Xenopus tropicalis: one gene and its partner. The protein of the gene in region 2 purifies or fractionates together with the protein of the main gene of each other region. This does not show direct contact. Links are inferred from orthologs where the notes say so. Each region holds a gene or a part of one and is shown on either strand. Other genes may lie near its edges.

Evidence for each region. Proteins that work in one complex are often made in the same cells at the same time.
Region 1: the proteins of eif4g1 (region 2) and eif3j purify together in Homo sapiens (affinity purification with western blotting; 3 studies listed by BioGRID and IntAct, with this or other methods). This does not show direct contact. The link is inferred for Xenopus tropicalis from reciprocal best matches to the Homo sapiens genes EIF4G1 and EIF3J.

The regions. Positions count from the first base shown.
Region 1 is NC_030679.2:118,202,504-118,207,820, forward strand, and holds the end of eif3j (eukaryotic translation initiation factor 3 subunit J), read right to left. Parts: intron 4,495-5,317; coding exon 4,333-4,494; intron 4,200-4,332; coding exon 4,126-4,199; intron 3,721-4,125; coding exon 3,586-3,720; 3' UTR 1,595-3,585; downstream 1-1,594. UniProt on the Homo sapiens protein: Component of the eukaryotic translation initiation factor 3 (eIF-3) complex, which is required for several steps in the initiation of protein synthesis.
Region 2 is NC_030681.2:99,826,877-99,833,285, reverse strand, and holds the start of eif4g1 (eukaryotic translation initiation factor 4 gamma 1), read left to right. Parts: upstream 1-2,339; 5' UTR 2,340-2,460; intron 2,461-6,409.

The sequences.
Region 1 (5,317 bases), on a different chromosome or scaffold from region 2:
CCCGAATGAATGGGATACGCTTGGGTGCAGGCACGTGTAGCTGAAATACGCATAAATACGCAAGACTTTCAAGCTCGCTTGCCAAAAATATCCGCCCTATGCCTCATCTGACATCAGCCTTAGAGCTAAACCTGACTTGGGACAGAGCATAGGTCAAGCAGGCAATGCAGCAGTACTTCTATGCTTTATGGCTGAGATTACAGCTATCTTTATAACACATCATGCATATCAGAATGGTCAGATCCTATTGTGCCAAAGAATTCAACATGCACAGTATGCCTTGATAATAACAATTTCAATAATTTTAAGGAAGATATTTTAAATTACTCGCAGCATAATGTGATATCTACAAGTCTGTTGTTAATACAAACGAGCTTGTTACCAGAGTTTACAGAAATGTTGCTTTCCCCTCAGGGCTACTTTGTGCTGAACGCTGTTCTTTCAGAGTATCAAGCCCTGGTCACTGCTTTAACCATGTGATATTATGCTCTGGCAGTAAAGGCACCATTGAACACTAAATTGAGTTCTCTCTCCTGGAAAAAGTAATGGCCAACTGGTAAATGGCTTTTCTTTTAGAGCTTAACATGGGGAGTAACATTTGGTGAAAGACGGCTGGGGCCCCTGGTCCCATTGAAAGCAAGGCTACAGCATAGTGTGATATTCTTGCCTAAAGGTGGCCATACCAATTCAGCAGCCTTTCTGCCCATATTTGGTCACTGCGGGCAGGCCTTCCCAAAAGAAATCTGGAATCAAATTGGCCAGATCTCTATGAGGCAAGATATGATTTTCCCATCAGATCAGGGAACATTGGATAGTTGATGCAGTCCTCGGTCTGACAGTGCCCATAGCTGCTATTTTAAGTCGTGCTTAAGTATTATTGCTAATGAAAGCAAAGCCTGGCTGTACCTTGCTCTTCCCTGCATTGCTGGTGCTGGCCATATGCACAACGTTACAATAGTTTGCTCTCCTCCAGCCAATGATCAGTTTCCCACAATACACTGGATTGTTACTTAGAATTAAAATGATACTGGTATATTCCTAAAATAGTCAGCATAACTAGGCAAGAATGGCCACAACCTTCTTTTTTAAACAGTAGCGCCTCAAGCCTGTGGTACCGGCCCATCTCTAGCAGGCCATGTAACAATGTTGCCAGTATGAGTCAAGCCAGTGTATGGTTCACATTATAGGGTTGCACCACCTCCATCCAACGAAGCAGCTCTCTCTCTGCTTATTGTGTCTGCAGGTTAACACTGGGCTGTGGGCAGAGAAACTTTGGTTCTAAACAAAGGACTTTGACTTATTTGTATAATAAACCCTTCCTTCTAAACAGGAGTCACAAACAGTACCTAGGGGAAGGAATGGGTTGTTTACATAGTGCTCAATGTCTCTATTTAAAAAATCTCCTGATAAGTAGAACAATAATCCAGGAGTGCTATTAAATAAAAGGAAAAAAATGGATTTCTTTTTTTAAACACAAGCTTCATGATTTGGTTATGTTGAACATAGGTTCATATTTTCCCTTAAAAAAATGTGAGTTATAAGAGCAAAGGGAAACAAGCAAGAAAACAAAAAAAAAAGGGAGACAACATTGAAACAAGTTGGATGTATATATTTTACTTCATTTCACACACTTTGTTGCTGTTATTTGAAGCTGCTGGTGCCAATAAGGAATACAGTGAAGATGGAACTTATGGTGCCTGTCCCAGTTATTTCTAGTAAGAATGCGTAGTGTGGATAAAGGCTTAGTTTGCTCATATCATGCATCACCCCCCCAAAGAAAAATAAAATCCTTAAGTAATGTGATTCTCTGTCAGCAGTGACTGTATATTGTGCGCTCAGCCATGGAGTTACCAGCTTTTTAAAGGTAACCAAAGGTCTCCCATTTGAAAGTGAAGAACACGTAACTTCGACTTATGGTAAAAAAGATCTAATCCAGCCATGAGACTATAATATACCCGTTAGATTTCCCTTAATACACAGAATTAAATATGCTGGTGTGGGTTTTAGCTGTACAGACAAGTGGTTTCTGGCATAATGTCCCTTGAACAGGCCTTTTACATAATTGCAGCCCCACTGGCTGTAGGCGGCTACAGGGAAGACCGAACAGACAGTAATTGTGCCTTTACCTTTAAACCGCAAGCAGACTAACCCCCATGATAGAGAAGCTACGGAAACCAAAGCAAGGAAAAAAAATATTCAGTATTTCCATTAGGCAAATGCATAAGGGAAATGAGAGATGGGAAATATTGTGACCCTCAGTCCTTTGCCTAGAACAGTTCATAGTCGGGGGGGGGGGGGGGGAAGGAAACTAAAAATAAAAGTTGTCAACAAGGAAGATGAAAAAAAAAAGATCAATACAAGGTATCAAGGCAAAAGCAAAGGAGAGCTGCAAAGAAATAACATATGCATAATTTTTTTTTTTTTTTTTTTTCAAACATTGTTAATATGTACATAAATACAGCTTGTCTTCCCAACGCTATTAATTCCATCTGCGCTTTAACAGCATTATACATGGTAGAATAAACCCACTAATAATGACTTACTGGAGGTGGTCTCTCTAGCTCCCTGCTCCCTGGTGCACTACACTTTGCCAAAGACTCAGAAGCCAACCTTGCCTATGCAGGAGAGAGCACACTGGCCAATCTTGTCACAAGGATGAGTTTATTAAATTAGTTGTCTTATAAAACAAACATTGCAGTCTCATTGTTAATATAACAATTCTCCCAAAGTAGGACCTGTTTGCAAAGCGCCATCCAGTGGGTGAGCAGAAGATTAAGAGAAAGGGCCAGACCTTGAACCTTGGTGCAAGAGTCAAAAAGCAATAAACCAATCGTGAAACCACACTGACACGCAATCACTAAATAAATATCAAGACCCTATGGCCCTCCCCTCCGGCAGAGCCATCAAGAACTGCCAGTTGGCCACAAAGTCATGATGACCCACATGTTTTGGTACTGGCAGCTCCAACAGAAGGCAGCACATATAGTCTGATGCACCAGCGGTATCTCCTTACCATTCTGCATCTTCACAGTTCCACATACTGTAGAGGTGATTTCAGATTGTTTAAAGTTTTAATATGGAAAAGCACCAAGCTGAGTCCATCAGGAATCACAGTTCAAAGCAGGAGATTCCTCTAGCACAAAGCTAAGAAACCAATATATATTAAAAAAAAAAAAAAAAAACTAAGATGGCTGGGAGGGCAGTGTCAATGAGGCAGGAAGTAAAGAGCCAGAAGAAAAAGAAAGATTTAATAACCTGCCCTGCCCAGAGAGAGAGAGACCATATTCCTAGGCAGAAAGCAGAGGCATGACTCTGTTTGTAACATGGCAGAGCTGAGCGTGCATGCCACAAGCAGAGTGGAGAAGGTTGCGAGCCTTGAGTTAAGGGGATGCTGAATAGAGCTGCATAGGTTAATTGTTTAATGTGCGATGTGGGCATCAACCAGTAGAATCCAGATACACACACCATGGCCATTTTCTTTTATATGGCCCGTTGAGGGGGGATGATTTCTTTGACTGTAGCATTTGGCAGAGTCCTGAGGGAGGAGAGCGCACTCCTTAATGAGGGCCACAAAGAACCAGCGTGTCACATGAAATCGTCATACTCTCGTCCATAGCCCTCATCCATGCCCCCATAATCTTCTAGATCATTCTTCATGTTGGCTTTTAGTCCTCCTCCCGGAACAACTCCCTTCTTTTTCTTTTTGGCTTTACTTTGTTGCTGTAATTCAGAGACACAATTGTAGTTTATCCAGGCAAAAAAATATGCTAAATCTCTACCTGCACAGAAGCAGGTTACAGGGGGCATATAACCTACCTATAACAATGACCAATGATTCATGATTTTAGCAGCTTTTACACTGCATGGCAAGAGCGGGGTAGAACATATAAAGCTTAACACTACCCTGCTAATGTCACATTGAGCAAAACAATAGAGCGGTGATGCATGAAGAGATGCTTCTTATCTATATAAAATAAACATTTGCTATTCTTCTTAGCGCTCAGCAGGGGGCACTCATGTTACACCTTCATGCTAACATCATGAAACAAGTCCTCTAATAGGTTGTCATTTTTCTATTACCTTGAAATAATTTCTTTAATACTCCTCCCACCCAAATAAACTCACCTTCTCTTGCTTCTGTTTCTCAAAGCACAACACTGTTAGAGAATTGTTGATTTTCTTCAGGTCATCCACTTCCACTAAAACAGGAAAATACAAAAATACTTCAGGCCACCGCAATATATGGCAAAATTAATGACTAACAAAGTTCATGTGATAAGTCATGAATGAAAAAGCTTTATGGAAATTGGAAAGGAGGAGAGGCTGGCTTACATGAGACGCACACTTCCCGCACAAGGACCTCCAGGAAGCCTGGGTAAAATAACGATCTCTCATACTGGGTGATCTTTTCTTTGAGGAGCTTCCCAAATTCTGTAAAGTCTTCTCTTGAGGACGGATTCATGGCATCTATTCCAGTAACGGTAACATTGTCTCCTGCAGATAATAAACAAACTTTTTTTTAAGGTTTCCTTCCCTCTTCACTGTGACCATATCTGTGCTAAAGGCCACCCTAACATAGCTGCATGTTGGGGAGCAGGTAGAGCCAGGCCTGTGTGCCAGAGCAAGAAGCCAGGCAAAAAGGCAGGTAGTTAATGTCCCAGGCTGGCGAGTTGGGGTGTGATGTTGGACACGGCTACAATATAAGTCAAGCAGAGCGGGGTGGCCGAGTGCTATACTCACTTCGGCACCGCACTGTCCAAGCCTCCTGCTCATCCTAAGCTGCTGAAATCTGCCTGAGTGGTCTAAATAGCGCAATAGGGCTAGGATGCAGAAAGGGGCTACCATGTGAGGCAGACAGGTAGCCCTGCTTCTGGTATCACCCAGGAGTCAACATTAACCACTGACCAAATAATTTCTCTCTAAGGGGTATATTTATCATGCTGTGCAAAAAGTAGAGTGAAGCATTACCAGTGATAACCAATTAGCAATTAGATATCAACAATTAGCAGCCAATCAGATGCTTTGCTTTTCTATGAGCAACATCACCGGCAATGTTTTACTCCACTTTTTACACAGCATGATATATATACCCCCAAGTATCCCTAGAGACATGACTGTCCAACCTCCTAGAAGCAGGACACTTGAATTACCCCATAGATCACCTGTGTCCCCGAGACGACAGAAAATAAATAGTAGTAGTATGCAACTTTTCAATATACATTAAACTTTTCATTAGTGAATTTAACAAAACTGCAGAAAAAATTTGGTTGTGTCAAAGTCGCATAGTAGCTGCATTCTGAAAACTTTCTGCAGTTTT
Region 2 (6,409 bases):
TTCCTTGTAAATCAAGCCTGAATACAGAGGGGTCCCTACAGATTCCTGTTATTGTTCATTACTCGTACAACACTGCACACAAGGTTGGGGCAAGTGGGGTAAAGGCTACTGTTATATCAGTGATGCAGTTCAGTAATGCAGGCAGGTTGTTAACAGTTGACCATCTTTATTTCTTACACACAGAAACTAGCTTCCCAGTCTCCTCCCACTATTTCCCAAGGCTGCAACCATCTAACATCCTTCAAAAGCATATAACTTTATAAAACATAACACAGTTTATGCAAATACATAACTGATACGACTCCCCAGCTTGTAAATGGGTTTTTAAAAAATATTTAGGCATTCTGTAGGCACATGCTTCTATCTACAAACAATTTGCATTGGAAGCGCATAAAAATAAAAAATGTGAAATTATGGTGTAATATTTCTTAAATTAATAAAACACCCACAAGTGCAAGCTTGAGCAATGTGACCATAAATGAGTTAAATAATAAATAAATTTTCTCCACCAGTGCAAAATGGTGAGCTGATGCACTCACCAGATGTAAAATACAGCAAGGCAAAGTAAATCTGCAGATTCTTGGTAGTGATAAAGCGGGATCCTCAAATTGTGATAAAATGAGAGAAAACAAACATAATGTAATACTACTTTCTACTACTTCCTCAGGAGCCAGATTATAAAATCTTTTATGATCCAGCTCCTGAGGAAGCATGACGTAATTATGCGAAACGCATAGAGATTGTTTCTCGTTTCTGCTGAATTGTACTACAATCTGTGAGTAGCCTGTATATGAGCAGGTTTTATTTTTAATAAATAGTATTACACTATGTTTGTTTTCTCTCATTTTATCACAATTTGAGGATCCCGCTTTATCCCTACCCCCCCCCCAATCCCTTGGATGTTGCTCCTAGTGGAGCAAGGTGCTTATTTTTTAATTCCTGGCTTTTGAGCAAGTTTTGGTTGCATAAAAACCAGGTGTACTCAGGGCCGGATTTCCCTATAGGGCCCCCGGAGGCCGCCCCCTTTTGTCGCCCACCTCGACACCCAAGCTTCACGCATGCGCACCGCAACCCCCCCCCCATGCGTGCCACTTCATTCATTCGGAGCCATGGGGAGAGGACGCGCTAAAGTTTTGGCGCTTCCTCTCCCCATTATTCTGCACGGGGGCAAATTGTTCTGGTGTGGGTGTGGGCCTGGGTGTACTGCCAAACAGAGCCTGATGTAGGCTGCCAGTCAATATAGGGGCTACAAAATAACCAATCAGAGTCCCTATTTGTAACCCCAGGAACAGTTTTCATGCTTGTGTTGCTCACCAACTCTTTATACATTTGAATGTTGCTCACAGGTAAAAAAAGTTGGGGATCCCTGCTCTACATCATACTACTAAGGGGCAGATTTACCAAAGCACGAATTCAAATCCCGAATGGCAAAAATTCAGATTGGAAATGAAAATTTCGCTGTCATTTCGTCGCCGTCGCAACTTTTTCGTATTTGTTTCGACTTTTTCTTCGCCGGTGCGACTTTATCGTATTTTGCGCGACTATTTCATCGCCGTCACGATTTTTTTGTATTGAGCAATTATAAACGCCGGAAAAACCAATCCGATTTTTTTGCGACGGCGACGAAAAAAGTCGCAGAAAATATAAGAAAAAGTTTGACGGCGACGAAAAAGTCACGGAACATACGAAAAAGTCATGACGGCGACGAAAAAGTCGTAAAAATACCGATCATTACAAAAAAAATGCATTCGGACCGTGGATTAGTAAATGTGCCCCTAAGTCACAAAAGAGTTCCATGACAAAGTCACTGCACAAGGAGAAGTACTTTTATACAGATCATGGAATTCTGAGGTGGCTCCTAATATCCTCAGTTATTTTACAACAGGGAATACATTGTTTATTATAATACACACGTTTCAGTGAGTCATATGAAATAAGCTGCATCACAGGATAGTCACGGTTCTTGTGTGCGTTTGTATACATTGTTTTAAAATAAATAAATATATATATATATTGGAATTCTAAATAGGACGTTGGTAGCAACATCACAAAATGAATTTTTGCTAAACATTACCGTTTTGTAGTAAAAGTAAGTCATTATAATGTAGATACGCGCTACATACACTTCTGAAATAATTTCTCACACATAGTCGCAGCAGCTTGGCTAGTAGACAAAATGAACACGCATATGTTCGGGAATACAAAATCTTTAAACACACACTATATCGAGCAAAAATCTCGCATTAGCCCTAACACACTTCAAGTCACGTGATACCGGCAACATTCTAATCACGTGATGTGTGCAGGGAAGACAACGCGGCGCTAGTTTGTGCTCTTCCCTTTCCGCTTTTAGTCTGTCACGTGGATTGGGTCTGCGCTTGCGTAGAGGTTCGCCGGGATCCGGAAATGGTTGAGCTAGCTGGTGCGACTGCGCCCGGCTGCGCGGACTGAGGAAAGCAGGTGAGAATCGGTGGGGCCTGATTTGTAATCCATTGCCATCCTTCGTCCTGTTAATGCCTGTCGAGTCTGAAACGTGAATTGGTAACTTACTAGTGGCGCTTACCCACCGGCACCGCGTGGCGCGATGTCCGTGTACTTAAAGCTGCCTCACCATGGCCTGTCCGTATGAGGCCCTTAACAACCCTTTTAGCTGTCCTTCATAGCTAAAGTCCGCTCGGCGTGAGAGTCGAGCAGACAAGATTGGCATTTCATGTTGTGTTGTTTGTGTAAATGTGAGGAGAGATGGATGGAATTGCTTACTGAAGCCGGTTCCGTATGGAGCGGCACAGCGAGGAGTACGTGTGACATTGTGTCAGTTTAGGTGGGTAGCGCGGAGGGGGCGGAGGCGCAGTGACATCATGCACCTCATGAGTTACAGCATGCACCGGCAATCAAAATGTCCTCCATCAGGGGCTTTAATGGCTCCGTAGGCTCAGGAACTCCATGCGGTTATTCGGCGGGCATGAATGAATGGCACCATACCGTTTCAACGCGAAAAGAGCTTGTGCTGGTAGGGAGTGGGAAACTTAGCTTGCCCTATTGTTTTATATGGCACGTCATTTCTTTTGTGACCCTCCACTGTTCATTTGCGGCCAGTTCTATCCGTGATAGTGCATTCAAATAATATATTAACACGTTGGAACTGTAAAAAAATAAGCTGCCTTTCCTGAAACTTCTAGGACTTGATATCCCAGTTTAGGAAGACAGGTTCTCCCATCTTTTTCTTCAGCTCAAACTTAAATGAGACTTTTTTTTTTTGTAACTATTGTTATTTCTGTTAACATATGTTTTAACTGGATGTGTGTCTGTGGGTGGGTGAAGGGCGGGCACTATGGGTGACACTTAGTTTTGCTGAGTAAGTGAAAGTAATCCCACAAAGGCTATATAGTGTGCTTGCTTCATCTGCACCCCACACCCACCCTAGGGTGCTCTAGCATGCTGCTTCTTAATCTTTTACTGATGGCACTGCCTTTTTTTTTTTTTTTTTTATTATAACACTGCCATTTTATAGCATCAACTTTGTGTGTAATACATATAATGTCAAATTATATATAACGGCACTCACTTAATGGAGAGAATGTCTGGGTGCATACCCACCCCAAATATGTAATATAGAATGTCATATAAAGCAGAGTACTTACAGGACTTGAATGTATGGTGAAAAAGAAATGTCCTGTCCTTACTTTTAAGTCCTGTAAGCACCCTAAGATATATATTCATATAATTTACATTTTTGACCCTGAGAATAACTTGCATTTATAAATTTGTATGGTTATGCTATCACATGGTTGTTTTAGTTCTGTTTTATTCTGTGTAGCTCTGGTATAGGCAAGACACTAGTTAACCTTCCTTATCTTTGAAACTGTAAACTTAGCTCTGCTGCCCTAATTGTGAAACATTTCTTGAAGCAGTTGATTGCAGTAGTGGTAAACGAAACTGGTGTAGTGTGTTAGTGGCGGTGGTTAATTGGGCAGTTTGGTGCAGATCTTTTTGATAGTAGATCAGGCAAATGGACGTAAGAGACAGCTCCTAAAAATATGGGGTTAGCCTGATAGTAGCCTTCAACACTCCTGCCTTTATTACTTCTGTATTTATATCCATGTCCATCATTTGCATGCTTTCAAGGTCTGCTTTAGTGTAATGAGTAGAGGACCCCGGATCATTTGACTTTAACGCGCCACAGAATCAGTTATGTTCTGTCACCTGTTGCATTATGCATCAGTAGAACTTGTACGACTTCTCTGTTTCTTTGTTATAATTGTTTTACTAAGGTTTTAACAATGCTGCATACATGTTTTATTAAATATTATATTTAGTCAACAGTTTAGCATTATATCTTAATTATCTATGTAGCGCTGACTTATTCCACAGTGCTTTACAGATATTTATGTTTACATGAGTCCCTGACAAAATTGAGTTTAAAATCCAAATCGGTGTAAATCTCATCTGCTGGTTAGTACCTGCTTTTTTTTTATTTATTTTTTGCATAAGTCACTGTATAACCACTAGGAAATAATAACATCTGTTATAAAAAAAAACAAACATTTTTGTTAGCAACTTTAAAAAAGTAAAGTTTAAATCACCGGGGGTTGTCTATATTAGGTACCCTCCAGTGATTAAGATTGCTTGCCATATACCCTGGGCCAGTGCTTCTGTTTGCTAAAAACTGTCCGGACCCAGAGTAATTTCTGCTGCAGATCCTTATCGCCACCTTCTTCTGAGTCTTTCTTCTGTTCCAGTTGACCCATTCACAGTAGAATGAAAGCCGAAATTAAAAATAAAAAGCTGGCTCTTGCACTCTAGTGCACATGCGCACTCCCACTCCACGGTGAAAAGAGGAGAAAGCACAGAAGAACTTCTGCAGAAAAACCCCAGTCTGGTGCAGCTTTCTGCTAACAGGAGCACTGGTCCAGTGTATCGAGTAAGCCATTACGATTACTGGGAGGGTGCCTAACACTTGGCACCCCCCAGTTATTTAGACTTTCCTTCTCCTTTAATGATGATCTTCATGAAACCAACATGAACACTCAGGTGTGATGCTTGGCAGTAAAACCTGTTCATGTGACTAACTTTTTTTTCAGAATAAATGTCAATCAAAATTCCTTTATTAAAGGAACAGTAACACAAAAAATGAAAGAGCTTTAAAATAATAAAAATATAATGCACTGTTGCCCTGCACTGGTAAAACTGGTGTGTTTGCTACAGTAACACTACTATAATTTATATAATAAGCTGCTGTGTAGCCCCGGGGGCAGCCATTCAAGCTGGAAAAAAGGAGAAAAGGCACAGGTTACATAGCAGATAACAGATAAGCTCTGTAGAATATAATAGTGTTTTATCTGTTATCTGCTATGTGCCTGTGCCTTTTCTCCTTTGAATGGCTGCCTCCATGGCTACATAGCAGCTTATTTATATAAATTATAGTAGACTTTCTGAAGTAAACACACAACTTTTACCAATGCAGGGCAGCAGCACATTATATTTTAGTTACTTTTATACACTTTCATTTTTTGGTGTTACTGTTCCTTTAACTTTTACCTTTAGGATACATTTAGGGGCACATTCATCAAAGTGAGAATCATACTTTGATAAATCTGCCCCTAAGTGTATATTCCATTTGAGCAGGGGCAGCAAGAAGTAATGTGTAAATGCTGCAATGGCTATTGGCCCACTTACACTTGCTGGTCACATGGGAATCAGTATCTGCTTAATTCCATTCCTCAGGGCGTTCCTTGCAGAGCAGTATTCCGTTTTGGGGACTGAGCCCAGTTTAATAGGGTTTGACTGTTCTTTCCTTTTTTACTGGCATGATCTTGGCCTGCAAAGCTCGTGTCTTTTAGAAAACTAAGATAAAAATGACACTTATTGCCTTAAGCAACCAAACCCGGTCCTTAACCCTTTTACTGCCAGCCGTTTTGGTCAAAGCAGAACTTGTATTGCCAGACAGTTTTTGAACATTTCACTTTAGGGGTCTTTCCTCGGGGGGACTTTTAGTTTACCCAGGAAAACAATATATCATTTTTTTCAGAACAACCTAAGCTTTCAAAATATGGTATTTTTTGTGTAATTCCAATTCTGTAACAAGATATAGGCTTCTAAATGTCTAAAAATGCAAAAAAAAATCAAATTTTCCATAATATTAACACACATACTAGAAACAAAAATTATTTTATGCACAAATATACAACTGATTTGGAAAGTCCCATGTCTCCTGAACGTGCCAATACCAAATATATATAGTTTTATGGAGATTTCTCACTTGTATAAGTCAAAAACTCCCAGCAGTACACTACCAAATTTCCAAAGCACTGCTCCAGAATGCTGCATGCTTTAGATTTCAAGGACAAAAATTCCACTAATAGAAGGTTTATCCCAGACAATTGTACATTTTTGGAAAGAACAGATTCTG